7 linked regions of the Macaca mulatta genome follow. Each later gene encodes a partner of the first gene's protein in a complex. Links are inferred from orthologs where the notes say so. Each region holds a gene or a part of one and is shown in the gene's direction. Other genes may lie near its edges. The genes, in order: SFN, CAMKK2, TBC1D4, ANPEP, EIF2AK2, PADI6 and RND3.

The links.
Region 2: the proteins of SFN (region 1) and CAMKK2 are in contact, whole or in part, in a crystal structure (PDB 6Y8A), measured with the Homo sapiens proteins. The link is inferred for Macaca mulatta from reciprocal best matches to the Homo sapiens genes SFN and CAMKK2. Residues at the interface, in NP_006133.1 of Homo sapiens: Val46, Lys49, Arg56, Arg60, Lys122, Arg129, Tyr130, Glu133, Gly171, Leu174, Asn175, Val178, Tyr181, Glu182, Leu218, Leu222, Asp225, Asn226, Trp230; in NP_001257414.1 of Homo sapiens: Arg508, Ser509, Leu510, Ser511, Ala512, Pro513, Gly514.
Region 3: the proteins of SFN (region 1) and TBC1D4 are in contact, whole or in part, in a crystal structure (PDB 7NIX), measured with the Homo sapiens proteins. The link is inferred for Macaca mulatta from reciprocal best matches to the Homo sapiens genes SFN and TBC1D4. Residues at the interface, in NP_006133.1 of Homo sapiens: Asn42, Ser45, Val46, Lys49, Arg56, Arg60, Phe119, Lys122, Arg129, Tyr130, Glu133, Gly171, Leu174, Asn175, Val178, Tyr181, Glu182, Leu218, Ile219, Leu222, Asp225, Asn226, Leu229, Trp230; in NP_055647.2 of Homo sapiens: Arg637, Arg638, Arg639, Ala640, His641, Thr642, Phe643, Ser644, His645, Pro647.
Region 4: the proteins of SFN (region 1) and ANPEP are in contact, whole or in part, in a crystal structure (PDB 7AEW), measured with the Homo sapiens proteins. The link is inferred for Macaca mulatta from reciprocal best matches to the Homo sapiens genes SFN and ANPEP. Residues at the interface, in NP_006133.1 of Homo sapiens: Asn42, Ser45, Val46, Lys49, Arg56, Lys122, Arg129, Tyr130, Gly171, Leu174, Asn175, Val178, Glu182, Leu222, Asn226, Leu229, Trp230; in NP_001141.2 of Homo sapiens: Ala60, Ser61, Ala62, Thr63, Thr64, Leu65, Asp66.
Region 5: the proteins of SFN (region 1) and EIF2AK2 are in contact, whole or in part, in a crystal structure (PDB 7OBK), measured with the Homo sapiens proteins. The link is inferred for Macaca mulatta from reciprocal best matches to the Homo sapiens genes SFN and EIF2AK2. Residues at the interface, in NP_006133.1 of Homo sapiens: Lys49, Arg56, Lys122, Asp126, Arg129, Tyr130, Glu133, Gly171, Leu174, Asn175, Val178, Glu182, Leu222, Asp225, Asn226, Leu229, Trp230; in NP_001129123.1 of Homo sapiens: Asn546, Glu547, Arg548, His549, Thr550, Cys551.
Region 6: the proteins of SFN (region 1) and PADI6 are in contact, whole or in part, in a crystal structure (PDB 4DAT), measured with the Homo sapiens proteins. The link is inferred for Macaca mulatta from reciprocal best matches to the Homo sapiens genes SFN and PADI6. Residues at the interface, in NP_006133.1 of Homo sapiens: Lys49, Arg56, Arg60, Lys122, Arg129, Tyr130, Gly171, Leu174, Asn175, Val178, Tyr181, Glu182, Leu222, Asp225, Asn226, Leu229, Trp230; in NP_997304.3 of Homo sapiens: Phe443, Tyr444, Pro445, Ser446, Ala447, Glu448.
Region 7: the proteins of SFN (region 1) and RND3 are in contact, whole or in part, in a crystal structure (PDB 7OBC), measured with the Homo sapiens proteins. The link is inferred for Macaca mulatta from reciprocal best matches to the Homo sapiens genes SFN and RND3. Residues at the interface, in NP_006133.1 of Homo sapiens: Lys49, Arg56, Arg60, Lys122, Asp126, Arg129, Tyr130, Glu133, Gly171, Leu174, Asn175, Val178, Glu182, Ile219, Leu222, Asp225, Asn226, Leu229, Trp230; in NP_001241667.1 of Homo sapiens: Asp236, Lys237, Ala238, Lys239, Ser240, Cys241.

The regions. Positions count from the first base shown.
Region 1 is NC_133406.1:214,122,169-214,125,223, reverse strand, and holds SFN (14-3-3 protein sigma), read left to right. Parts: upstream 1-1,596; 5' UTR 1,597-1,661; coding exon 1,662-2,408; 3' UTR 2,409-2,433; downstream 2,434-3,055. UniProt on the Homo sapiens protein: Adapter protein implicated in the regulation of a large spectrum of both general and specialized signaling pathways. Binds to a large number of partners, usually by recognition of a phosphoserine or phosphothreonine motif.
Region 2 is NC_133416.1:128,612,976-128,616,985, reverse strand, and holds part of CAMKK2 (calcium/calmodulin-dependent protein kinase kinase 2), read left to right. Parts: intron 1-1,115; coding exon 1,116-1,216; intron 1,217-1,739; coding exon 1,740-1,782; intron 1,783-2,228; coding exon of another isoform or gene 2,229-2,234; exon of another isoform or gene 2,235-2,339; coding exon of another isoform or gene 2,340-2,348; exon of another isoform or gene 2,349-2,770; intron 2,771-4,010. UniProt on the Homo sapiens protein: Calcium/calmodulin-dependent protein kinase belonging to a proposed calcium-triggered signaling cascade involved in a number of cellular processes. Isoform 1, isoform 2 and isoform 3 phosphorylate CAMK1 and CAMK4. Isoform 3 phosphorylates CAMK1D.
Region 3 is NC_133422.1:70,244,282-70,248,778, reverse strand, and holds the start of TBC1D4 (TBC1 domain family member 4), read left to right. Parts: upstream 1-1,508; 5' UTR 1,509-1,919; coding exon 1,920-2,417; intron 2,418-4,497.
Region 4 is NC_133412.1:79,616,100-79,620,109, reverse strand, and holds part of ANPEP (aminopeptidase N), read left to right. Parts: coding exon 1-87; intron 88-544; coding exon 545-671; intron 672-754; coding exon 755-909; intron 910-1,162; coding exon 1,163-1,276; intron 1,277-1,372; coding exon 1,373-1,516; intron 1,517-1,655; coding exon 1,656-1,721; intron 1,722-1,855; coding exon 1,856-1,921; intron 1,922-3,547; coding exon 3,548-3,720; intron 3,721-3,967; coding exon 3,968-4,010. UniProt on the Homo sapiens protein: Broad specificity aminopeptidase which plays a role in the final digestion of peptides generated from hydrolysis of proteins by gastric and pancreatic proteases.
Region 5 is NC_133418.1:87,801,521-87,805,530, forward strand, and holds part of EIF2AK2 (interferon-induced, double-stranded RNA-activated protein kinase), read left to right. Parts: intron 1-901; coding exon 902-1,025; intron 1,026-1,709; coding exon 1,710-1,786; intron 1,787-1,927; coding exon 1,928-2,021; intron 2,022-3,279; coding exon 3,280-3,314; intron 3,315-4,010.
Region 6 is NC_133406.1:223,606,504-223,610,249, reverse strand, and holds the end of PADI6 (inactive protein-arginine deiminase type-6), read left to right. Parts: intron 1-184; coding exon 185-346; intron 347-2,691; coding exon 2,692-2,925; 3' UTR 2,926-3,169; downstream 3,170-3,746. UniProt on the Homo sapiens protein: Structural constituent of cytoplasmic lattices, which plays a key role in early embryonic development. Cytoplasmic lattices consist in fibrous structures found in the cytoplasm of oocytes and preimplantation embryos.
Region 7 is NC_133417.1:55,446,370-55,450,379, reverse strand, and holds part of RND3 (rho-related GTP-binding protein RhoE), read left to right. Parts: intron 1-2,863; coding exon 2,864-2,998; intron 2,999-4,010. UniProt on the Homo sapiens protein: Binds GTP but lacks intrinsic GTPase activity and is resistant to Rho-specific GTPase-activating proteins.

The DNA.
Region 1 (3,055 bases):
TTTGGCTAGGGGTGGGGCAGATAAGCAGGAATCCATCCCTGTAGGCTCAATGCCAACACCCTTTGGTGAAACTCCTGATGAAACTTGAGGCCAGGGCCCCAGCAAGCAGGGAAAGAAGGTTGGCAACAGAGGTCTCCATCTGAGGACTCTGCCAGGGGTCAGAGGTGGGGTAATGGTCAAAAGGAAGGAAGTGGCTCATGCCCATAATCCCAGCAGTTTGGGAGGCTGAGGCAGGAGAATTGCTTGAGCCCAGGAGTTTGAGACCTGCCTGGGCAATGTAGTGAGATCCTGTCTCTATTTAAAAAAAAAAAAAAAAAAAAAAGGAAGGAACAGGGAAACTTCTGAGAGACAGGCTGGGGGAGGCATCACGTAGCTGGGATTGCTGCCCCATAAAACAGAATGGTATGTGTCACTGCCACCTCCCTTTCTCAGTCCTCTCTCTCCCCAGGTTGCTAGCGTCCCCCCTGGGGGATCAAACTGGACTGCTTCCCAGCCTCAGACAGAGAGCAGTCTGAGTCAGGCAGGAAAGTGGGACAGCCGGGGAGCTGGACCCCACCCTCTGTGAACCCCACTGGTACCTGATGGCATGTGGCTTGGAGAGGGCAAGTGACCTGGTGTGGAGGGCCAGAGGGTAAATCCTCAAACAAGTGGCAACAGGCCACCAACTTGAAAGGGAAAATTGTGTAGTGATGGGAAATGTGTACAACAAACCTACTGGGTGACTAATTACAAAGGCTGGGCTGGAGCGTCAGAGGCTGCTTGTTAAACACTTCATTAAGTGGCACTCTGAAAGCTGCCACCTGCGCATTCTGGGAGCTCAGAGGGGACCCTGAGGGGGAGTGAGGCCTGAGGGATGGAACCATCTTCAGGTAGATTGAGAAAGAGCCTGGATCTCACTTCCAAACACAGCCTGGAGCTCATAGGTCAGAGACTTCAACGGGAGAAAAGCTAAAGGAAGCAGGGTGCAGAAAGGAGTTTCAGGGAAGTGGTGGCTATGTGACTTTGAGCAAATCTCACCCCTCTCTGAGACTTAGTGTTCCCATCTCTGTGGTCCTGTGTGTGTCACAGAGACACAGTGGGGATTAAATTCGATGGTGAATATGAAAGTGCTTGGGAAACTCTATGGCCCTACCTAAACATGAGTTATCCTCACCTGAATCAAGGGGAGAAGTTACCTGGCAGGATTGGGAACCCCATCCTCCTGAACCTTTATGGGCTCTGTCGAGGCAGAAGCAGCCAGGGGCTAAAGCCGCCCTTAGCCTCTGTAAGGGCGCTGTGAAGGAGGATCTGATTTGAGAAGCCAGGCAGTTTCCTGATGTGAGCAGCCATATGATGCCAGCCCCGAACAAGAGGGGGCAGCCTAGAGCCTGGAAAGGTGCCTGTGCAGGTGGGGCCCACGCCCAGATTTCTTCTGCTGACTGTTCTGATGACTCACCCCCACATCCCAGCCTTTTTACCTTTACTGCAGAGCCGGAAAGGGTGTGGGGAGGAGAGGAGACGGAGGCAGGTCTTGGGCCCTGGTCCCGCCCCCTGCTCCTCCCCACCCTTCTCTGGGCCTGGCCACCCAGCCAAAAGGCAGGCCAAGAGCAGGAGAGGCACAGAGTCCGGCATTGGTCCCAGGCAGCAGTTAGCCCGCCGCCCGCCTGTGTGTCCCCAGAGCCATGGAGAGAGCCAGTCTGATCCAGAAGGCCAAGCTGGCAGAGCAGGCCGAACGTTATGAGGACATGGCAGCCTTCATGAAGGGCGCCGTGGAGAAAGGTGAGGAGCTCTCCTGCGAAGAGCGAAACCTGCTCTCAGTAGCCTACAAGAATGTGGTGGGCGGCCAGAGGGCTGCCTGGAGGGTCCTGTCCAGTATTGAGCAGAAAAGCAACGAGGAGGGCTCGGAGGAGAAGGGCCCCGAGGTGCGTGAGTACCGGGAGAAGGTGGAGACTGAGCTCCGGGGCGTGTGCGACACCGTGCTGGGCCTGCTGGACAGCCATCTCATCAAGGAGGCTGGGGACGCGGAGAGCAGGGTCTTCTACCTGAAGATGAAGGGCGACTACTACCGCTACTTGGCCGAGGTGGCCACTGGTGACGACAAGAAGCGCATCATCGACTCAGCCCGGTCAGCCTACCAGGAGGCCATGGACATCAGCAAGAAGGAGATGCCGCCCACCAATCCCATCCGCCTGGGCCTGGCCCTGAACTTTTCCGTCTTCCACTACGAGATCGCCAACAGCCCCGAGGAGGCCATCTCGCTGGCCAAGACCACTTTCGATGAGGCCATGGCTGATCTGCACACCCTCAGCGAGGACTCCTACAAAGACAGCACCCTCATCATGCAGCTGCTGCGAGACAACCTGACGCTGTGGACGGCCGACAACGCCGGGGAAGAGGGGGGCGAGGCTCCCCAGGAGCCCCAGAGCTGAGTGTTGCCCACCACCGCCCCACCCTGCCCTGCCCCCTTCAGTCCCCCACCCTGCCGAGAGGACTAATATGGGGTGGGAGGCCCCACCCTTCTCCCCCAGGCGCTGTTCTTACTCCAAACGGCTCCGTGGAGAGGGACTGGCAGAGCTGAGGCCACCTGGGGCTGGGGATCCCACTCTTCTTGCAGCTGTTGAGCGCACCTAACCACTGGTCATGACCCCAGCACTGCTCTCCGCACCGCTTCCTCCCGACCCCAGGACCAGGCTACTTCTCCCCTCCCTCTTGCCTCACTCCTGCCCCTGCTGCCTCTGGTCGTAGGAATTGAGGAATGTCCCGCCTTGTGGCTGAGAACTGGACAGTGGCAGGGGCTGGAGATGGGTGTGTGTGTGTGCGCGCGCGCGCGCCAGTGCAAGACCGACATTGAAGGAAAGCATGTCTGCTGGGTGTGACCATGTTTCCTCTCAATAAAGTTCCCCTGTGACACTCCTCCTGTCTCTCTCCAGTTCTTGGCGATGGGTTGGGAGTGGAACTGGAATCTGATTTAGAGATCCTGACTTTCGACCTCTGAGTTAGGGCCCTGACCTCCCTGCGTGGCTCAGTGACCTGCACGCAAGACTTTGAGTCCAGGTGAGGCCGGGGTCCGGCTGTC
Region 2 (4,010 bases), on another chromosome or scaffold:
CTGGCCAGGCTGGTCTCAAACTCCTGACCTCAGGTGATCCACCCGCCTCAGCCTTCCAAAGTGCTGGTATTACAGGTGTGAGCCACTGCCCCCGGCCCCCCGCTCCTTCTTTTAAATTGAGGTAGAATTCACATAACATAAAATTAAAGTGAACAATTCAGTGGCATTTGTGACATTCACAGTGGCATGCAATTATCCCCTCAATAGTTCTGAATATTTTCATTACTTCACACCCCCGCCCATCAGCAGTGACTCTCCATTCCCCTCCCCGCAGCCCTGGCACCCACTCACCTGCCCTCTGTGTCTGTAGATTTGTGTATTCTGGTGGAATCCTACACTCTGAGGCCTTTTGGGCCTGGCTACTTTGACGTAGCAGGTTTTCACGGTCCGTTCGTGTTGTACAAGGATTAGTGCTTCACTCCTTCTTATGGCTGAATCATGTTCCATTGCACGGACAGACCGCTTTGAGTTTATCTGTTCTTCAGTTGATGGGCATTTGGGTGTTTGCACCTTTTGGTAAATTAGTGTTTCTTAAACACTTACTCTTCTTGTTAGCAGCAAATGCTTAAAAAGTCAGAAGCTCCATGAATTCCCGAAACAGCTTGAAGGGGCACCGTGCCCTGGTTGGGGTGGGGTGAGGGGCCCAGTGACTCTTAGGGGGTCTGCAGGCCATTCCCTTCATGGGAAATGGCAGCCAAGAGCATCACCAAGAGTGACTGGTTCATGTCCTTGCTCCAGAACTTTCCGGGGCTCTCTGGCTGACCACAGGCCAAGTTCCAGACCCCTCTGGGTGGGGATTCTGAGTCAGGTAGTGAGGGGACCAGATCTGGGTTTTGGAAGGGATGGGAGGGAGGTGGAAAGCAGGGAGGCCTGGGAGAGATGCTGAGCAGTGGCTGAAGGTGTGGTGCAGGACAGCACCTTTTTCCAGAGGATTCTTTTGGTGGGGGTTGGTTGCAGCGGCGGGGGGCTGTCCAGTTTCTCTCAAAGGCCTGCCATCAGCCACCAGCCCTGGGCGCTGGCAGGGGCTGGGGAGAAGGAAGAGGGAGGATGTTGCCCGGAATCGCCCCCACCTGGCCAAGCAGTCACCTGCCACCTCCTCTTTTCTCCCTCTTCAGATCCTGGTGAAGACCATGATACGTAAACGCTCCTTTGGGAACCCATTCGAGGGCAGCCGGCGGGAGGAGCGTTCCCTGTCAGCGCCTGGAAACCTGCTCACGTGAGTGGCCGCCTGCCTTCTTGGGTGGGGGAGTGGGGGCTGGAGGCTGAGCTTGGGGCAGCCCTGCCCAGAGCACTCTGCACAGGTCCTCCCTGAAGTGGCACCATCTGGAGAGACTCAGATGAGACCCACCTGGTGCACTGGGACAGTCAGCACCCCAGCCTGGGCTCAGCTCACCTCCTTTTGCTGACAGCTAATCCACCTGAAGTTTACATTTCTCGGGGACTTGCACTGTAGCTGGGGGGCTCTTGGCAGTCAGAGGAAAAGCACTTTTGTGGCCCAGGAGTGTGAGTGCCTGATGGGGAGGTTTGAGGCTCTGTGCTGGGCGAGCAGTGTGGCCTCATTCAGGACTCTGTGTGTCCATGCAGAGGGGTGTCCACTCACCTGATGTCAATGCCACCCTGGCTCCAGCTCTATGAAGCTAGTGTTTGGGGTCTGAGTGTCTCTGGGTGGGGGAATGGGCATCTCGTGGATCCCAAGCGTCCCTTCTCACTTCCCTTTTCCCTCCCTCTGGTGATTCCAGCAAAAAACCAACCAGGGAATGTGAGTCCCTGTCTGAGCTCAAGGTAACACCTGCCTGCCTGTGCCGTAGCCTCTGCTGGGGCCTGAGGGGGGGTGGGTGGGCAGCTGCAGAGCACGGGGGCATCCCCACCCAGGCAGACGCTCCTTCCAGCCTGAGCTGCTGTGGCCGGGCTCACCACGGGCCTCCAGACCCAGTATTAGAACGAGGGGCCTCGGGGGCTTGGACCCGATGGTGGGTCATGCATGTGGGCTGGGGCTGCGGGTGCATGGCGCTCCAGCTGGAATGCCTGAGAATGCACCCAGGTCTGAAGATTCCATGTGGCACCCACGTCTTCTCAGTGCACGTCAATGGCGTTGAAGCTCTGTCACGGGGCCCGTGGGTGCCCCCCGCCGAGTCCGCATGGTCAGTGCATAGATCAGGCATGTTGCACTGTGTGGCTCTTTGCTAGGGGCTCCCCAGCCTCCACTTCTCTTTCTCTGATGTGTTTAGACTTAGAAAATAAGTCCCCTTCCCACCTGTTGCAAAGTAATGTAAGAGTTCCCTCCCCCGAGTGGATGCAGACCTTGCTGTGAGCCACCCTTCCTTCATACGCATACCCAGCCCAGGTGACCAGAACCTCCCAGGACAGATGAAGCCTTGTGTCCCTATGAGACCGGGAGAACCTGCTGGGCACCCCTGCTGCAGGTGCTGTGGTGGGTGGGGACCCCACTGCCCTTCCCAGTGACCCGTCGTGGCCACCTGACTTGGTGGGAGCTCCAGGCAGTCACTTCTGTTTCTTAAAAATAGCTTTATTGAGGTTCAATTCACATACCATGCAATTCACCCGTGGGAAGTGTTTGATTCTGTGGTTTCTAATAGAGTTTTGCAGCCATCACCACCATCAACTGTACGACATTTTCATCAGCCCAAGAAGGCACCCTACACTCCTTAGCTGTCCCCATCCAACTCCCCCACCCCAGTAACCACTCGTCTTTTAGTTTTCTATGGATTTGCCGATTCTGGACATTTCGTATAAATGGCATCATACACTACGTGGCCTTCTGTGTCTGGCTTCTTTCACTCAGCATCATGTTTTCAAGGTTCATCCATGCTCTACGTGTATTAGTACTTCATTCCTTTTTGTGGCCAAATAATATTCCATTGTATGGACACACCTCAGTTTGTTCATCCATTTCTCTGTGGATGAACTTGTCTCCACCTTTTGGCTATCGAATGAAGACTGATGCTATGAACATTCCTGTACAAGTGTTAGGAGCTGGCTTACAAGATGAAATGGATTGACCACCAGGCTGGGCAATCCGAGCACTTTGGGAGGCCAAGGCAGGTGGATCACGAGGTCAGGAGTTCGAGACCAGCCTGGCCAATATGGTGAAACCCTGTCTCTACTAAAAATACAAAAATTAGCCAGGCGTGGTGGCACACGCTTGTAGTCCCAGCTACTCAGGAAGTGAGGCAGGAGAATCACTTGAACCTGGGAGGTGGAGAGTGCGGTGAGCTGAGATTGCGCCATTGCACTCCAGCCTGGGCAACAAGAGCAAAAAATCTGTCTCAAAAAAAAAAAAAAAAAGAAAAATGGATTGGCCACCCATCCTGTGGGAGTCAGGGCTTATATGGTAATCTAGGAGGAACACCTGTTTGGGAATTATTTATGCTTTTGAGAGAAACCTTGCCCTCCAGCATAGAGCACGGAAGACGGCAGTCCTTCAGAACCGGTCTTCAGCAGCCTCAGAAGGCAGACGCAGTCCCCAGCTTGTGCCCACACAGATGCCTGGGCAGCTCAGCCTTGGGTGTGAGCCTCACGGATGATGGAGTGGAAACCCAGCGGGTTGGCCTTTCCTCGGCCTTCCTCCTCTCAATCTCCATTTTAGGGTCTGCCAAACTGGGGCTGCCTCCTGTCTGTGAGCAAGTCTGCTCTTGGTTTCTTTTCTATTTTCTTTCTTTTTTTTTTTTTGAGACAGGGTCTCGCTCTGTCGCCCAGGCTGGAGTGTTGGAGTATGGTGGTGTGGTCTCGGCTCACTGCAACGTCTGCCTCCTAGGCTCAAGCGATTCTCCTGCCTCAGCTTCCTGAGTAGCTGGGATTATAGATGTGTGCCACCATGCCCAGCTAATTTTTGTATTTTTTTAGTAGAGACAGGGTTTCACCATGTTGGCCAGGCTGGTCTAGAACTCCTGACCTCAGGTGATCTGCCTGCCTCGGCCTCCCAAAGTAGTGGGATTACAGGCGTGAGCCACTGTGCCCGGCCTTAATTTCAATGAGATCAAAATTGCAAG
Region 3 (4,497 bases), on another chromosome or scaffold:
TTATGCCAGTAGGAACTGGCCTGCTGCAGCTATTAATTCAATCCTAGCTCCCAAGCTGGTTGATTTTGTAGAATCTACAAGACTTCCATGCTTTCTCTATATTTTTGTTCCTTTCTTTTATATGTCTCAGATGTGTAGCCTAAGGAAATGGGATCTGTGTAAGAGAGTTTCTGGGAAGGTTTTAGAAGGTCTCAGTCTACCTTCCAAGAACTTTTCATTGCTTCTTTGAAGACATGGGTCTTTTTGAACAAAGGTTTTTTAAGTGGTTAAACCAAATGACTTAACCTAATCAATTAGTAATGTCTCCATCTTGGAATTTAGATACCTATTAATAAGAGAGCCATCAGGGTGCAACCAGAAATTCAGCATAGGAATAATGACAGTTAGTCATATTGACCTTAAATAAACAGAAGGGAAAAAGTGGTCCCAGGGCTTTCTAGAAAGTGAGAACTCATTAAACTAAAAACCAAGAAACTAAAAACCAAGAAACTAAAAACCGAGTTTTCATTCTTCTTGTAAGCACTTAGGAGAAAGTCAAGAACTTCTGTGTCTTTCCTATTTGTCTTTACTTCTTACCCAATTCTTAATTATCATTCAGTATGAGTAAAGAGAGAATATTTGTCCACCTGTTTTAAAATTACAATGATCAAATTATTCCAAACTTTTTTTTAGTTCTTTGGAAATATGTATTATCATATATACATAAAAGAACAAGAAATCTCTACATTAGCTCTCAACTGGGAATATAAAATAAATAAAATATAATTTTTCCATATTTTAAGAAGTTGGCTGCTTTAAGAACTAGGAAGATTCAAGTTGTCAATACTATGTTTTAAAGTGAAAATTGGAACTGGAATTTATAATATTGTGATTGAAAACACGAGCGTTTTTTGAGATTATTAGGAAGGATAATTCAGAAATTAATGTGTAGGTTTTAGAAGGAACTGAAACCAAGCAAATACTGTTAAAAAAAAAAAATCCCAGTTCTCCATTGCGAGTGGCCCCCTCTCTAGGGGGCAGCAGAGACGCCCGGGAGGAGATGGCGATCGCAGCGACCTAAGAGAGGCCAAGCGGGTCCAGGCAGTGCCCACGCCAGGTTCTAAGCTGCAGCCCCAAGGGCGGGGGTCGAAGGAAGAGGCGGAGAGGCAGTTTCGCAGATAAGCTTTTGCAGGCGCCGCTCTCCGCCCGCCGGACGGGAGGCGGGTTAGCAGCCCAATTAAAGAAGCAGCCTGGAAGGAAGGAAGGAGCGAGGGAGGGACGGGAACGCCAGGAGGAGGAGCAGCGAGCTGGGCTGCAGCTGCTGCGGGAGGCGGAGCGGCCCCGCGAGGCCACATTTTGTTTTTGTTATTTTCCATTGGAGTAGTTGTCGGAGGCCTTTCCCGAGGACTGACCGCGCCGCAGCCCGGCAGCCCCGACCTTCCAGGTGACAGCCGGTCACCCTGGTAGGAGTCAGCTCCGCCCCAAGTCACCCCCTCCCGCCCACAGCCCCATTCCCCGCCCAGCCACCCAGTGCCTGCCCGAGGCGAGCGCGGAGGCTGCAGCGGGGCTGCAGCGCTGGAGTCGGCGGCCGCGGGGACCCTCGGCGTGGTCCTCTGACCCTGCATACTCGCGACGGAGGAAGGGGAGGTCCTGCCCGAGGCGCCAGCCCAAGGAGGATGCCCATTTAACCCACCTTCGCCTATCCCTCCGGCTGCCGGGCGCTTGCCTCGGTGCCCGCCGCCGGAGCCTCCGAGCCGCGCCCGTGGAAGTGCTGCATGGGGCAGGGCTGCTGAGGCGCGGAGTTCGGGGTCGCGCCGCTCCCAGGCGGGCGCGGGGGCCTGGTGCGGCAGTTGGCACAGTTTCGGCGGCGCCTTCTGCGCGGGAGTGGGGGGCGCGGTGCGCCCGGCCGGCCTCCGCGGTGCCTTGGTGAGGTGAGAGTTATGGAGCCGCCCAGCTGCATTCAGGGTGAGCCGTTCCCGCACCCCCTGGAGCCCGAGCCGGGCGTCTCAGCTCAGCCCGGCTCCGGGAAGCCGGGCGACAAGCGGTTCCGGCTGTGGTACGTGGGGGGGTCGTGCCTGGACCGCAGGACCACGCTGCCCATGCTGCCCTGGCTCATGGCCGAGATCCGCAGGCGCAGCCAGAAGCCTGAGGCGGGCGGCTGCGGGGCGCCGGCGGCCCGCGAGGTGATCCTGGTGCTCAGCGCGCCCTTCCTGCGTTGCGTCCCCGCGCCGGGCGCCGGGGCCTCGGGGGGCACCAGTCCGTCGGCAGCGCATCCCAATCCGGCCGTGTTCATCTTCGAGCACAAGGCGCAGCACATCTCGCGCTTCATCCACAACAGCCACGACCTCACCTACTTTGCCTACCTGATCAAGGCGCAGCCCGACGACCCCGAGTCGCAGATGGCCTGCCACGTTTTCCGCGCCACAGACCCCAACCAGGCAAGACTGGGGCTCGGAGGCGCGGGGGCGGGCTTGGCCCTGGGGGATCCGGGAGCAGGGCGGGAGGGGGGCGGGGACGCGACTTTAAGGACCTACTGTGGTTTGGCTGCAGGCGCGCGCGCTCCACGTGGCGCTCTCAAGCGCCGTCTCGTCCGCTTCCCTGGACTTTGGGAGGGGTAGAGAAGGCATTCGGGGACTGGGCGAGCGGCTGGAGCCGGCCGGTTGCAGCAGGGACCCGGAGGGAGAAGGACCGCGGTCCCTGGATGGAGGAGGACCTGGCGCGTCCAAAGAGCACGCGTAGAGGAGCGCGCGTCCCGGGAGGACGGCGGTGTCTGGAGTGTGATCGGAGATGGCTTGCTTGCCGTGTGTGTGTGTGTGTGTGTGTGTGTGTGTGTGTGTGTGTGTGTGCGCGCGCGCGCGCGCGCGCGCGTGTATGAACGCAGAAGGTTGGGTTCCTAGAGGTTCTCACTAGTTCTCAATCACGGTCCTTAACCGGTTTGGCTGGTCGCGTCATCTTCGCCCCAGCACCTGCAGGTCTCCGATTTCGGAGCGGGGGTTAGGGAAAAGTTACTAGACATTGTCAGATTGTCTGCGAAGAAGAATTCTGCATTTGGATATTGAATGGAAAGAAGCCCTTCTCTTTTTTGCAGTTTTTAAACACACTTATTGGAGGCAGTTTAGTAGAACAGGTTTCTAATACAATTTTTAAATGATTTTTTTCACTTTTGTTTTTAATTTTTTTTTTAGTCTTCTAATTCGAATTACCAAACAGTAAACTTTTACTTCCTTAAAAACAGATGTGGACCTTATGGAACAGGGAGAGGAAAACTTGACTATGCAGTGATTGTGCCTTTGAAAACAAGCTTTTTCCCCTTTAATTTGTAATGAGTTTTTTTTCCCCCCATCTCAAAAGCTTCCAAAATGCTGTTTTAAAAATGGTTATTTAATGTTTGCACAGTACTTTAGGTTCTTTGGAAAAATATTGTTGTCTAAATATAAATAAAGTCTCAGGTTGCACCATGTGGCTTTCTTTTGATAGCTGGGAAATTAATAGTAGTCAGATGAGAAAAACATCCTATAAATAAGGCTTTAATTTTTTATTTCACAATTCTTCTGTCTGTAATTGAAAGACTTAGAATAGTTTTCACAAAAGGCTTATAGTTGAATTGAAGAAAATAAGAGTTAATTGTCTTAGATTTCATCACTTTGTAAAATATTTTTTTTTTTTTTTTTTTTTTTTTTTTTTTTTGAGACGGAGTCTAGCTCTGTCTCCCAGGCTGGAGTGCAGTGGCATGATCTCGGCTCATTGCAACCTCTGCCTCCCAGGTTCAAGCGATTCTCGTGCCTCAGCCTCCCGAGTAGCTGGCATTAAAGTCGCCCAATAAAAAGAACTCCTGATGTGAAGAGAGCAGTTTAAATTTGTGATCACTGTTATGTTTATGGCAAAATATTGTACTAAAATTATTTCAAGATCCTAACCACGATTTAATGAATTTCATTTTGTGATCATTTGTTCAAAACTTTTTAGCTTTTACATATGTTAAAATTGGAAAGTTTCTGAAAGCTATTACATCTTTATTGTATTACATTTTTCTGGTTCTGGCGGTAAGGAGGAGCCAGTTGCATTTTTTCAGGACTTTAAGGAACTTTTCATGACTCTTAGGGGTTTATGTTAAAGTTATTTCCCTCCAGCCACATCTGATGCCTGACACATTGTTGCTAATCTCATTGATGGTCGTGGCACCTTGAATTCTCAATAGCTGCTGTTGAGTTCCTCCTGGTCTCATTGGTAGGAAGTCAATTATAAACATTCCTTTATTTTCCTCCATTATATATTTAAGCGTTAGAGGCTGAACTATATAAACATTAATATGTTTAAGATCACTTCCACCTTTTAGTCCAGTGGGAGCAGTGGAAGCCATAAGACTTTCTCATAAAAGTTCAAGAAAACCTCTAACTGACTTTCCTGTTTATTGCCTTTTCCCGGATGCGTGTTTGATATAAAGACAGGAATTACTATTTGCTCTTAACCAAGAGATTCCCTGGCAGAGGATTATTAATTTGAAGGGCCAGATGTAGT
Region 4 (4,010 bases), on another chromosome or scaffold:
ACCACGCCCAAGATGTCCACGTACTTGCTGGCCTTCATTGTCAGCGAGTTCACCTACGTGGAGACGCAGGCATCCAATGATGTCTTGGTATGAGGCTGGGCCCATCTCTCCTTCACCTGGGCTGGCCCTGGCTTGAGGGGTCTTCCTGTTCTCTTCATCCCTGTACCAATTTCTGAATCGTTAGGCCAGGGTTTGAATCCCAGCTCTGAGTGATTTCGGGCAAGTGTCTTGTTCTTTGGTTCTCTATTTCTGCACCTGAAAAGTGAAAACAATGGTTTCTCCTCATGAAGGGAGTTCTGACCCGCCAGTACCAGACAGACGGTGGCTATGATAATTGGTATTCTCCAAAGGCCCTTCTCTAGGACCCACAGCTTCCAGGCCCCCCTAGTGTTCCTTCTGCTGACCAGGTCTCTAGGTTTAGCTTGATTGACCCCCAGCCCTGGCCCGTCGGGGATCCCCCTGGCCCACTGGGCCCTGGGACCCAGCCCACCTGCCCCAGGATCAAACAGGGGCCCCTGGCCTGCTTCTTCCTCACACCTTGCAGATCCGGATCTGGGCCCGGCCCAGTGCCATTGCGGCGGGTCACGGCGATTATGCTCTGAACGTGACAGGCCCCATCCTTAACTTCTTTGCCAGTCATTATGACACACCCTACCCACTCCCAAAATCAGGTGAGTGGGGGTCCTCGAGGAGGGAGGCAGTGGTTGGAATTCCACTCCCGGAGGCCATCCTGCCAATGGCCTCGCCTCCCCAGACCAGATTGGCCTGCCTGACTTCAACGCCGGCGCCATGGAGAACTGGGGACTGGTGACCTACCGGGAGAACTCCCTGCTGTTCGACCCGCTGTCCTCCTCCAGCAGCAACAAGGAGCGGGTGGTCACTGTGATTGCTCACGAGCTGGCCCACCAGGTAGACCCCCATCTCGGGGAGTGCAGAGAAGGAAACGGGGGCTCCAGGAGGAGATGGTGCAGGTCCAGGCTCCGCCCCAGGCTGCTGAGAAGGGAGGAGGGTGCCGCCTGACAGGGCAGCAGGAAGGGGTCACGATGGGGTTGGTGAAATCCCCACTGTGCCTGGCAGGTGGCCAGCCCTGGGGAGGGTAGTTCTGGGGACTCTCAGTGCCTGGCCTGGGCGTGGCTTGCCCAGCTGACCCCTCCCCCCACAGTGGTTCGGGAACCTGGTGACCATGGAGTGGTGGAATGACCTGTGGCTGAACGAGGGCTTTGCCTCCTACGTGGAGTACCTGGGTGCTGACTATGCAGAGCCCACCTGGAACTTGGTGAGCAGCTGCCCTGGGGTCCAGTCGGGGGGTGTGGAGGGAGACCTGGGCCACCGCTACCAGGCCAGTGTCCTGATGGCCCTGGGGAATTTGCAGAAAGACCTCATGGTGCTGAACGAAGTGTACCGCGTGATGGCCGTGGATGCACTGGCCTCCTCCCACCCACTGTCCACTCCTGCCTCGGAGATCAACACGCCGGCCCAGATCAGTGAGCTGTTTGACTCCATCTCCTACAGCAAGGTGCAGCCCACACCTCGTGAGACACAGGGAGGGAGGTGGGGACTTGGCCTGGAGGGGCCTCGCTGAAGCTGGGGTCTGGGGGCACAGGGTCCTGGTGGCTCAGCACAGCCTTCTGAGCACCCCCTCCCCCCCTCCCCAGGGCGCCTCAGTCCTCAGGATGCTCTCCAGCTTCCTGTCTGAGGATGTATTCAAACAGGGCCTGGCAGTGAGTACCGCACCCTGGGTCAGCCATGAGGGTGGGTCTCCTGCCCCTGGCCCTTGACCTGGGCTTCAGCTCACCACAGAGGGGGAACCTGGGGGGCTCCAGCTGTGCCCTCACTGTGCCCCGTCTTTCCACAGTCCTACCTCCACACCTTTGCCTACCAGAACACCATCTACCTGAACCTGTGGGACCACCTGCAGGAGGTCAGTAGCAGCCAGCCCCTCCACAGCCATCCTGTTGGGGTCTTGAGATGCTGAAGGTGCCTGGGGGCAACACGTGTACAAGAGAATGGGTCCAGCTGACCAGCCCTGCAGGGTGGATGGAGCCTCCATTGCTCCTCCCTATAGTGGGCACCAGGATGGCTCCTTGCAGGAGGTGTCTGAGTGAGGCCGTGGTCCAGGCCCTGGCCGGCATCTGACCTCAGGCTACAGTGGGCTCCTTGTTGGGAGCTGTAGAGCCCCTTCCTGGTGGTGAGGAAACGGCCCTCACGGTTCCCGAGTCCAAACCCGCCTCTGCCTGGAACTCTGGAGCTGGGCATTCAATCTTCTCCCACTCCTGGCTCCCCTGTGCTCCCGCTGGCACCTTCCAGGCACGTCTCTGCACACAGCTCCACACTCAGCAGGAACTCTGCCCTCTGCCCCTGCCCCGCCTGGAGTTCCTCTCCATCAGACCCCGCACAGCCCCTGTGTGTGGGGCAAACCCTCAGACTGCCTGCACCCTCCTGCCTTCCCCCAGAGGCCACCGCTCCTCCGCCTCCCCCGGGGTTGGAGTCCACCTGCTCTCCATCCTGCCCCCATCATTTCCGCTCCCTGACAGCTGCCCCCCACCCCTTCCCTGCAGCCCTGCCCAATGCCAGCCTCTTCAGCCAGAGGACAGACATGTCCTCTCCTCACCGACAGCCCCTCCAGAGTTCCGGGCCCCAAATTCCCGTCCAGCTTCTCCCCCACTGTTGCTGCTGCACTTCCAGTCCAGGCCAGTCTCACTGGGGAAGCGAGACCCAGGATCTTGTCATCACAGAGTCACAGCTGGGGTCCAGGTCCCTGCTGGGCAATTTCCAATCCCCCGACCCCGAGATGCTGCTGACATGACACTGTCATTGCCTGGGTCTCCCCCACTACCTTCCTTGATCTGCCCCAACTTCCCCTCTGCATTCCCTCTGAAGCCAACCTCTCCTCCCTTCCCTCCTTCTCTCTCACTCTTCTTTCCTGAGCCCCTCGGCCCGCGGTCCCCAGCTGGTTCCTCCCCACATGCTCTTCTGCCCTCTGTGTGGCCCTGTTCTTAGGTGATTCCTTTCTTCAGTTATTAACAAATGATGTTGGCTTTCTGTTGTGATAACAAAGGCAATGCAGGTACATGATCGAAGATCCAAGCAGACAGCAACAGTGCCTAAGCCCCGCCCCACACCCCAGTACAAGTGCACCTCCCTCATGCGACCCCCAGGACCCCCTCCCCCGCCCCTGCCTGTGACACCCGAACACTGGCTTTCCCTCATCTCTTCTCTTTCTTGTCATCCTCCCAGTGTTGTTCAGGAAGAGCCATGGGCATCCTGGGCATCCCCTCCCTGACATACCCACCTCAGGGTGGACCACAGAATGGGGGGCCACATAGATTTGCTGGGAAGTTCTCCAGCTCGTCCAGCACCGAGCAGCCGAGGAGAGGCAGAGCTGAATGGGACCCTAGCTTCCGGCTCCCGGCCCAGTGCCCTTCCCAGGCCTCCCATACAAGTGGCCCCCTGGGGTCGAGGCGAGAATCTGCAGAGGATGCCCTGGATGGCAGGGACTGGAGGGTGGCAGCCCACTGATGGCCATGCCCTCTCGCTCCACCCACAGGCTGTGAACAACCGGTCCGTCCAACTCCCCACCACCGTGCACAACATCATGGATCGCTGGACCCTGCAGATGGGCTTCCCGGTCATCACGGTGGATACCAGCACGGGGACTCTTTCCCAGGAGCACTTCCTCCTTGACCCCGATTCCAATGTTACCCGCCCCTCAGAATTCAAGTGAGCAGATGAGGTCACTGAGGCATGGTCAGGTGGGTGGGGTAGAGGACGGTTACTAAGGGACCATAGTAGGACTGGCCTCCTGTGGTCCTAGCCCCAGCCACTGTAGACAAACCCTCCCTCCAGAGCCAGGAGATCAGGGGCACTCGGAGCCAGAGTTGGGCAGAAGCTGGGAGCCTGGACAGCTGCTTCTCACTGGCAGTGACCACACTGCCGTCTCTCATTACCTCTGGGTCTTTAATTGCAGTTACCTGTGGATTGTGCCTATCACATCCATCAGAGATGGCAGA
Region 5 (4,010 bases), on another chromosome or scaffold:
TTCTTTGAATTATGCTCTCTAACGTTAGATACCTAAAAGAAAGAAGAAATCTATTTGCGGGGGGACAGTGTCTGAAAAAAATAGGAGCTATAGAAATGATCCAGTTACTCAACCCAGCTATTTAATTCAGGGTCTCGCAGGGAAGACTCACCCTGTTTGGATGTGTTTCTATCAATGGCCTTCAATAGAAGCACAAAGGAAAAGGAGTTCAAATACTGGAATCATTTTGCAGTAATATGTAGTAACTCTGTGATATAAATTACCATGTCCATTGTTTTATCCCTTAAAAATAGTTCTTATATAATTGTCCAGGTATCCTGGCCTAACCACAAATGTCCTTACGTCTAATAGGAGAGTGTGGACTTTAGTATAGGGAATCTACACTGTGGGGATTTTCTCAAATTTTTGTGCACATAAGCAGATGGCAGACAATGTTGAAGTTAGAGCAGAATCCATGCTTTGCTCTTGCCCTACGCTGTAACTTCATAGCTTCTCCTGTCAAATCCACTTTCTCTGCTGGCTTTTTCCTTCCCATTTGAGCACTGCTGAAAAAATTCACTGGACCTCTTTCTTTTCTACCTCCATATCTTTTGACCTTTGGGGAATTAAAAAACAAAAAAAATCACCACTTAGTGCCTTTGTGCCATATCTTTCAGCAAAGCAACCAAAAATTAGAAATTGCCTGGAAAATGCAAGCTCAGATGTCAACTGATCCTGGTTATTCAGAGAAATTGGTCAGGCAGGTTACTGAGGGTTTAAATTATGCAAGATATGAACTATAAATCTATCTAATAAATTGGTATTATCTTAAGATCTCTGTTAATGTTTTTTTTTTTTAATCGTAAGTTGGATTTACTATATTTTTCATGTTTGGATAAGTACCCTCTATGATTTCTCCTAGATTTCATTATAAATGCAAAATTGGAGACAAAGAATATGGTATTGGTACAGGTTCTAGTAAACAGGAAGCAAAACAGTTGGCCGCTAAACTTGCATTGCTTGAGATATCAGAAGAAACCTCAGTGGTACGTATTGCCTTTGGATTAAATTTTTATGTTTTAAAATTCCCTCTGAAGTTGACTTCAGGTTAGACTGTGGTTACATTATGCCAAGACAGCCAGTGATTTAGCAAAATGATTCCTCCATTCTGTGTCGCACCAATGAGCCATGTGCCATGGGGCCGTGGCTGGGTGTGGTGGCTCACACCTGTAATCCCAGCACTGTGGGAGGCCAGCGCAGGTGGATCTCCTGAGCGCAGGAGTTTCAGACCAGCTTGGCTTGGGCGACATGGCAAAACCATGACTCTACAAAAAAAAAAAAAAAAAATTAGATGCGTGTGTGGCATGTACCTGTAGTTCTAGCTACTTGGGAGGCTGAGGTGGGAGGATTGCCTGAGCCTGGGAGGTGGAGGTTGCAGTGAGCTAAGATCGTGCCACTGCACTTCAACCTGGACAGCAGAGCCAGATCCTGTCTCAAAAGAAACAAACAAAAAAATTATCTGTCCTGTGATCCAGAAAAATGAAATAAAAAATCAAATCAAATCAAATCCAGACCAAACATCCATAAAAAACGTTATTGATCTTGTAATTGTTTATGGTTGTGGATTTGGTAAATGTGTTGAAATAAATGTGATAGTACACAGAAACTGAGCCTCTGTAGAGAAATAATTAGTTGCATTTAAGCCTACTAAGGGACTCTCTTTCTTTCAGAAACCTGACTCCATGTCCTCTGGTTCTTTTGCTGCTACGTGTGACTCCCAAAGCAACCCTTTAGTGAACAACTCACTGTAAGTGTAGACAAACAGTTGAGATATTTAACATATTCATATTTCTGTCTGAAAGAGAAATGTTTATGTTTAAGGAGAATTTAGAGAAAGAAGTGATAAAAACAGAATTAATAAACTAATAGTTACACCCTTTTCTTCTAGTGCTTCTGAATCATCAGCTGAAAGTGACGTCTCAGCAGATACATCAGAGATAAATTCTAAAAGTGGCAGTTTACACATTTCTTCATTGTTTACGGTATCATATTAGTCTCGAAGCTTCCTACTTAATCTTATTTTTCTGTGCGTTTCCTCATTTAAAAATAACTTCTAGTATTCCACCATAATTTTTATATTTTTTCTTATGCACTCTTACTAAATGATAATATTCAGCAGCCTTTTTTTTTTTTTTTTGAGGTTGAGTCTCCCTCTGTCACTCAGGCTGGAGTGCAGTGGCGAGATCTTGGCCCATTGCCACCTCCGCCTTCCAGTTCAAGCGATTCTCCTGCCTCAGCCCCCTGAGTAGCTGGGATTACATGCGCATGCACCACACCCGGCTAATTTTTGTAGAGACGGGGTTTCAACATGTTGGTCAGGCTGGTCTCGAGCTCCTGACCTCGTGTTCTGCCTGCCTCAGCCTCCCCAAGGCTGGGATTACAGGTGTGAGCCACCGTGCCCGGCTCAGCAGCGTTTTGATTCTTTTTAAAATTAAGTTCCATTCCTCACCCTTCTACACGTCACTTCTGTCTTTCCTCACTCACCCCTATATTTTAATATATTCCTATGATTTTGCTTTTCTCTCCTACCAATGGGATAATATTTAAAGATTCTCTAATATAGTTTATTTCTGTTTTAAAAAATTAGAATTAAATTTAACATTAAAAGTAAACTGAAATCAGATAACTTTTTAGCCTGGTGCAGTGGCACACGCATATAGTCTGCAGCACTTGGGAGGCCAAGGTGGGAGTATCGCTGTAGCCCAGGAGTTCGAGATCAGCCTAGGCAACATAGTGAGACCCCATCTCAAAAACAAACAAGCAAACAAACAAAAACAAACAAAAAACAGATAACTTTTTGGTGCACATAAGCAGGCAATGTTGAACTTAGAGCAAAATCTATGCTTTTGACGATTAGTGTTACAAGAGTATTCTGTTATAAAGAACTACAAAATCGATAAGAAAATGGCAAGCAACTCAGTAGAAAAATGTACAAAGTATATAAACAGATAGTTCAGAGAAGAGATACCCAAATGGGCAACAAATATTAAAAGCTGCTTTACTAGGTATCAGGAAAATGTAAATCAAAACAATTAGATACTATTTTAAACTCATTAGATTGGCAAAAAGTTAAGTCTTACAATACTAAGTGTTTATACAGGGCTTGATGAGAATACAGACATTGATGGAATAAGAAATTGGTCAGCGAGCCATCTGGAAATACAAGAGGAAAGATAACAAGAGAAAGGAAGATGATTGATTTAGTCATCTGAAACTATTTCTCATTTTCTTTTGTTATAGAATGGTCTCAGAAATAACCAAAGGAAGGCAAAAAGGTGAGTATCATTATGCATTGAACATATTTTGATCTGAAGTTTTATTTCAGACTTATGTATTGTTTTAAATACTTGTAGAGTATTGTACACCCTTATTTGAGCAGAGTTTCAGAAGCAGAAAGCTTGAAATCTATAAAATAATTTTAGATGTGTCGAGAGATATTTGAATATATGCACATGCTGCACTGTAGACATAAAGCCCTATGGGGGTACCACTCGAGTAATTAGGTTAAGAGCATTATTTTGTACGAGGCTGGCAAGGAATTGGGCTGTTTTCACTGTAGAAGTGTTTTCAAGAGAAGTGTATTATTTTGCAGACAAGTAAGATTAAAATAGCATAAAAACTTGGATTATAAAAAGGTCAGATGCTATGTCAATTAACTGAAGAGAAAGGCAACGATGTAAATATAGTCAGAAATGAGAGTAAGATGGCAGTAGGAGCCATTATGAGCCACCAGTATATTCTGAATAGTAGATAGATGTATTAAAGAAAGATGATTCTTGATGTGGATGCTTGGATGGAGAGAAGAGAGTTCTGTACATGAGGTGCCCTCAGCCACGATTACTGTGGCAGTCAGGAGGGATGAGGAGAATGTGTGAGAAAGACTGTAAAGGAAGAGTGGACATGACTTGAGGGGATAGGTTCCCATAGCTGAGTGAAAGCATGAAGAAGAGGTAAAGGAGAAAGGATTTGAA
Region 6 (3,746 bases), about 9.5 Mb from region 1:
GAGCCCCCACTTCCCCAGGTGAAAAGGGAACTGCCCACTTAGGAAGGTCGGTGTGATGTGTGAGGCTCCTGGCGCACAGTGAGTGATGGGGATGGCAGTGGTGTCAGGCCATGGCCTACCTTCAGTATGGAAGGAAACTGGTTTTAATTCCTGATGAGCTCTCCTGGCCCCTCCCACCCCACAGAAGTGCATTCACTTGAACCGTGACATCCTGAAGACAGAGCTGGGCCTGGTGGAACAGGACATCATCGAGATTCCTCAGCTGTTCTGCTTGGAGAAGATGACTAACATCCCCTCTGACCAGCAGCCCAAGAGGCCCTTCGCGAGGCCATACTTCCCTGACCTGGTGAGGGACGACTGGGCATCCCTGGGTGGGGGAGGGTCCGTCCAGGCAACACTGGCTGCCGCCTCACTGTGCTAGACTGCAGAGATGGGGGAGGGACAGCAGATAACGGTGCCTATGAGGAAATGGGCAGGAGACCCCTTCTCCCCCATCTCAGTTAGGGACGCCCTCCCAGAGAGCAGGTATACTGGGCCTGAAGGCTTGGAGGGTTCCCCAGGCAGTTACTATGGGCCAGGAGCTTCAGGAGCCTCAGTGAGCTGTACCCCTAGTCTAAAAGGATGAACCTGTGAGGCCCACTTCAGATGGGGTGCTATGTAACTCAGAGTTGAGGTTGCTGTGCATCTGCCAGCAGTGAGGTCTTGGGCAAGCTACCTCAGGGTAGGTCTTTCCACTATCCCCAGGGTCCAGGGCAGCCGTGTCCGATACATGGAGGTACATCAGCACTTAAAATAACATTCTAGGCTGGGCGCGGTGGCTCACGCCTGTAGTCCCAACACTTTGGGAAGCTGAGGCAGGTGGATCACCTGAGGTTGGGAGTTCGAGAGCAGCCTAACCAACATGGAGAAACCCTGTCTCTACTTAAAAATACAAAATTAGCTGGGCGTGGTAGCACATGCCTGTAATCCCAGCTACTTGGGAGGCTGAGATGGGAGAATTGCTTGAACCTGGGAGGTGGAAGTTGCAGTGAACCTAAATCACACCATTGCACTCCAGCCTGGGCAACAAGAGCGAAAGTCTCTCAAAAATAATGTTCTGTTCAGCTTGGCTGGTTGTGGTGGCTCACCTGTAGTTCCAGCACACTGGGATGCTGAGGTGGGAAGATCACTTGAACTCAGGAGATGGAGACCAGCTAGGACAACATAGTAAGACCCTACATCTTTAAAAAAAAAAAAAAAAAATTAGCTGGGGCCAGGATGCAGTGACTCATGCCTGTAACCTCAGCACTTTGGGAGGCTGAGGAGGGCAGATCACTTTTGAAGTCTGGAGTTTAAGAAAAGCCTGACAGACATGGTTGAAACCCCATCTCTAGTAAATACAAACACTAGCTGGGTGTGGTGGTGCATGCCTATAATCCCAGCTAATCAGAGGCTGAGGCAGGAGGATCCCTTGAATCCAGGAGGCAGAGGTTGCAGTGAGCCAAGATTGTACCACTGGACTCCAGCCTGGGCAACAGAGCAAGACTGTCTCCACCGCCTCCCCCCGCCCCAACCCAAAAAAAAAAAAAAAAAAGCTGCGTGTGGTGGCCCATGCCTGTAGTCTCAGCCACTCAGGAGGCTGAGGCAGAACAATTTCTTGAGCCCAGGAGGTAGAGGCTGCAATGAGCCACTGCATTCCAACCTGGGCAACAAACCAAGACCTTGTCTGATAAACCAAACCAAAAAAAAATTCTGCGGCCGGGTGTGGTGGCTCACACCTGTAATCCCAGCACTTTGGGAGGCCCAGGTGGGAGGATCACCTGAGGTCAGGAGTTCGAGACCACCCTGACTAACATGGAGAAACTCCACCTCTACTAAAAATACAAAATTAGCCAGCTGTGGTGGCGCATGCCTGTAATCCCAGCTACTCAGAAGACTGAGGCAGGAGAATCACTAGAACCTTCCAGCGGAGGTTGCAGTGAGCCGAGATCATGCCACTGCACTCCAGCCTAGGCAACAAGAGCAAAACTGTTTATTTTTGTCTTTAAAAATTCTGTTCCTACTTATTCTAAACCAGAAGTCATAATCAAGAGTGGGGCTGTGAGCACATAGAGGTCCTGGTTTCACCAAGCCTATGCCAACTGTGGCTCACATCTGAACTTTCTCATGTAACAACTGACCCATTATATAGGTATTTAAAATGAACGGAGGCATTTGAGGTGCCCCAATTCTCTAAACACTTGCTGACCTCTTCCCTGGGTCCTAGGGACACAGGCCCTGATGCCATGGGTGTCTTCTAACTTGATCAGCTCAGTGTGGTCCGGTAGGGGTGAGTAGTGGCAAGAAGCTGCTTTGAGAAGGAGTTGAGATATGAAAGATGTGCAGCAGTCAGCTGACAAGAGGGGGTGGGGAGAGCGTTCCAGTGGAGGCAGCAGCAGCCGTGTGTTGCATCCAGACCATAAGAGGCCAGAATAATCAAAACATAGAAACTGGAGAAGTTGACAATCCCAGACCTTGGCCAGGCAGGATGTTGTCTTGCTGTTGAGAAACAGCCATTGGAGGGCTAAGCAGAAGCGAGCTGGGTTTCACTGACCTGGAGGAGGCGGCTGCCCGCCTGCTACGCCTGGTCTGGCCTGACCACAGAGAGGCAGGTGGGGCGCGGGCTTTCAGGCCTCTGATCCCTACCCGGGCCTTACCCTTTCTTTCTGACAGCTGCGGATGATTGTGATGGGCAAGAACCTGGGGATCCCCAAGCCTTTTGGGCCCCAAATCAAAGGGACCTGCTGCCTGGAAGAAAAGATTTGCCGCTTGCTGGAGCCCCTGGGTTTCAAGTGCGCCTTCATCAATGACTTTGACTGTTACCTGACGGAGGTCGGAGACATCTGTGCCTGTGCTAACGTCCGCCGGGTGCCCTTTGCCTTCAAATGGTGGAAGATGGTACCTTAGACCCGGGCCCTGGAGCTGCCAGCTCTGCCCCAGCATGGATGGCCCACTGTCACCATGCAGCAGATTCCTTGCCCAGCAGAGGCTGGACAGTCCAGGTGACACAACCCTTTCTTCCCTGTCCACCCCGACCCTCGGACCCAGTAGGGTAGCAAATGCTGCCAGCTTGAACCCCTGTGGGGAAAAGATGGAAAAGTGTTCAGCCAAATGGCATTTACTAAATAGCCAATAAAGTGCTGGTGGGCATGAATGCATCTTGGCAGTGACCTCCTCGTTTGGGGAGGGGATGTGTGCCAGCTGAGGACAAGGCTGAGCTGAGATGCCTATGGCCATGCTGGCTGCCTTGTGTGGGGGGAAGAGACTTGGCTACATGAGTTGCTGTCCTTCCCCTCATCTCTAAATTATGTCTATGGCAGGAAGTGGTTGGACTTATTCAAATGGACTTAGATTATCCAAATGCTGCTCTGGTTTAAGCAACTGGGACAGACTGGGTCTAGAGTCCAGGGCCCAGGCTGAAGGAAGGTTGAGGGCCTCCCCTTGGGCCTGGTAGGACCTGGAGGGGGCAGGCCCGGGGTGGGGTTGGTGCCATGCCCGGTGGGCACCAAGTAGAAGCTGTGGTCTCCTTGGGTCTGTAGGTATGGCCTCAGAAGACACAGCAGTAGCGGACCTGGGTGACCCTCAGCCTGAAGTGCCCCTCCCAAGGCCCAAAGCTGTATATTCCCATCTGACCATTCCTGTGTTAATGGCACAGGGATGCTGTTAAGCTTTAACAGGCGCTGTGGCTCCTGCCCTGCTCCTCCTGGGTGATGGCTCCTCTAGGACAC
Region 7 (4,010 bases), on another chromosome or scaffold:
ATATTTGATTACTATCATATTCATGTCTTCCTTCCTTCTTTCAGTGACTCAACCGATTGCACCTTAGCTTACAGAGTTACATTTGACCTCAAGTCAGTTAGTGAAAGGAATGCAATAATGGCTATTTTAATAAGCTGTGTTTTAGTTATGGTATTAGAAACAGAAATGGAACTAGTATAGGAGGAATAGGGATGTGTCCAATGTGAATTGTCTGATGATCAGGTATCTGTCTAGTAATTATGATCAGTTATCTTTCTAGTAATGTAGAAGCAGGGCTTGTAAACATGTTATATATTATAACGTACACATAGTTTATGGAGGCAAAGGTTAGTCAGGTTCTGTAGGTGAAGAAGGAACCTAACTAAGGAAGCTATGGATGGAAGGAACCAGAGGGAGATCAAGAGGAAGAGGACCTATTACAGGATGGGTCACAGGAAGTAGGGAGGCCAGTGGGAGGAAGGGGCATTTCTTGACCTCCAGCAGCAGGGACTCAGCCTCCAGGTAGTTGTAGAAGGCACGTGCCGTGTAAGTCCATGGATCAGCATTTATTAGCCACTAGCTGTTTTCTCAGACCTGGCCTGTGTGCTGTGGGGCTTCAGGATCAGACCCTTGGTGGAGCACTCCCTCTCCTCCACGCCCTGGCTTAGACACCGGATGTGGCTGAGAGCAAGGCAGTGTCAGCTGAGGGGTGAGCCATGCAGCCCAGTCTGAGTATGGTATGGATTAAGAAAGACAAACATGCAGGTGTGCCTAGGTTGGTTTTGTTTTTTTGGTTTTAATTTTTAGTGGAATTTGTTTGTATTTTGTGTGTTTTTATTAGTTTACATTCCTCTATTATATTTGATTGCTTGGCTTGTGTGTCATTGTGAAATCAGGATTTGAAGTAAAATCACTCCTTCTGTCTCTACTAAATATTACAAACAGAGTTCAATAAAATATGGTTTTCTTAATAGATCAAAGGCTCTTTTTCCCTTTTTAGCTCCTTTCAATTTTGGGTAATACATATCTAACACAAATAATGCTAATGCTTGTCAAATCCAGGCAGGAATACACCTTTCCTGTCTTTAATGCTTGTAAACAATTGCTAGACATGCGGAGGGAGGCCAAAGTCATTACACAGCTGAAGAGCAACATAACAACATGTCTAGTTCTGTCTGGAGATAAAAGGGGTTGCTTATTTACTGGAGATTTTATTTGATGTAGTATCAGGCTATGCATAATTTATGATGAAAAAGCCTTTCTCCTGTTTTATTTTGCTTTTTTCTTCTAAGACCAAATGAATAGTGACTTTGGCCTTATAGATATTAATGAGTATGTTTTACATTCCTGTGAGGTTTAAGGCTCATGATAACCCCTGTGGTTTGTCTTGATTAATGGAAGCCTTTAAGTCCTTCACTATCAAAGAGGAGGTTAGAATGACTTGAAGTAGGAAGAATTTCTTTTTTTTTTTTCCAGTTCACCTTCCACTTCTAATGCTAGTGCCACCTAGCATATGGTAGGTGTTCCTACATAATTCTGAAAGGAGTGAGGGAGAGAGGGAAGAAGGGAGGGAAGGAGGGAGGGAGGCAGGGAGGAAGAAAGGAAGGAAGGAAGGAAAGAAGGAAGGAAAGAAGGAAGGAAGGAAGAAAAAAAGGAAGAAGTGAACACAATAGGCTCTTATGGAAAGTATATTACTCCTTTGAATCCACTGGTGTAGTTTGCACTAGAGTTCATTACCCAAAGTACACCCCTAGATTTGGAGATGTCTCCTCTAGTGATCTTTTAAGTTATTCTTGCAGGATGTCCCTCTTATCTTGTGTTATACTTAATACATGACTTCATCACCCCCAGTATTCTGTGAATTTCTTTCCAGAAGACACAGCTATGTCTTAATCATCATTGTCACGGCCACAGTACTTTGTAGAACACTTACATATTTGTGAATGTGGGTGGGAAGAGTCAGGCACCACTTCCCCATCTCAGCCTCTCCAGGCCCTGCCCTCAAAGGCCAAAGATCTCCTGTGACTGCCCTGAACCCTTGACTCCCATGCTGTTGCAGAGCTCAAGCTTGAGGAAATGAAGCCACAAAAAGCCACTTGCTTGTTCTTAAAGAGGACAGTTGGAATTCCAAGCCAGGCATTGCTGAGGGTTCTACTAATTCTTGTTAGATCATGAAACAAATAGACAAACTGGAATAGATTGAAATAGTTTTAAACTAATTCGAAGGCATATGAGCTACAGGACCAGCTGCCTTCCCGATCACCAGGAGATGTTCCTTTGCAAATGTCATGATCTGTGTTGATGGAACCATGTGAATAGAAACTCCTTCAAGGCAGGATGTTCTGTTTTATTAACTATCTCAGGTACTTAAATAGAGCCTCAGCTCGCGGTGGCATGCTTCAGTGTTTCATGATGGGATCAGGGAGTGCATACTTGTGCTACTGTTGCCTCTGCCTTATCCGCAGCCTTCTAGTTAAGGAGGATCAGATCCACACATCGAAGGATGTGGTCACTTGTTAGGATATATAATTATTCTTAAGACACATTTATCTTTCAGAGACATGCCAATAATTAAGACATTATTGAAGCTACCTTTGGACAACATCTACCAAATCTCTTTCAGTAGCAACAGATGAGTCACAGAGAGGGAGAATCGATCATAATATACATAATCATTCTCTAATGCTTAAAAAGTCGTAAAACTTCACATCTATTCAGGAGATAAATGCAAAGTTTGCTTCTTCATCTCAAGGGACACTCCTTTTTTAACATCTTTTTTTGAGTTTCATTCTAATGTCTGCCAGTGGAGAAATGGTTTTTATGATATGGATGCCATTACTTTGTTCATTTTTAATCTTTTTTTTTTTTTTTTTTCCTGTCACAGTGGAAAGGTGAAATCCAGGAATTTTGTCCAAATACCAAAATGCTCTTGGTCGGCTGCAAGTCTGATCTGCGGACAGATGTTAGTACATTAGTAGAACTCTCCAATCACAGGCAGACGCCAGTGTCCTATGACCAGGTATATATGTTGCCCATGTGCAAAAGTGGATTTTAGAAAGAGTGAAAGAAATGGACTGTCACTCACAATAAATAAAATAAAAAGTAGCTGCTTTTCTAAACGCTCAGCCAGTGGTCAGTTGTGAAATTTAAAATGCTGTCATTTATTAGTGTAATTACATGATATTTGGGTACATAAACAGTTGATATGCTAACCTTGTATATTTCTGCAACTCCAAGTAGGTTTAAAGTTCAGTAGGTTTAACAGAGAATGTGGTCAAAATCAGTAATACTCTTTAAGAGAGGTAATCTGATTTTACAGTCGGCAGTGCAATAATAAGGCTGTTTCCAGTAAACTGGAGCACTCCGTAACACCATCTTTCAGAGAGTCTTCATTTCTATAGGCATTTCCCCCAAGTATGTAGAAATGAGAATCAATTTCAAAAGCTCATTCTCGTAAAACCTACAACCAGAATCTAAAGAGAGTTCATGTTGAAATACCAAAATTGTATTAAGAATCATCATTTTAAATACTGCAGTCTTCTTAGTCTTCCATTTCTCATTAGCAAAAATTTGGTATTTTAAATAAGTAGTTTTGGTTGATGTGCACATGTTTATTGTTGCGTATATTGGTGGTATGGTTCACACTTAGAAATTACGTATTTTGTGTTTGATATAACAGATGTCACAATAGTATTATTCCTTTCCTCAACTTATTTTGGCCCTAAGTAAGACACAATCACGTACATTTCAAAATCAATTTTAAATTTCATTCATTACCCTCGTTTTCGGTACAACCTAGTCACTAGTCTTGAATGCCATTTACCCTCAAGAAAAGAGAAATGGAGTCCCCCAGGAGACGCTGGAACAGGTTCTCAAAGCCACATCGCCACAGCCAGAGCTGTGTGGAAAATGTGGAGTTTATGTTCATGACCTTCAGCTAACTTACTTCACCAGTAAGATTCTCTGGGCCATTTCATGCTTGCTGTGACTCTGGAAAGCCTGAGTAACCAGTTAACTCTTGCTTGCAGTTG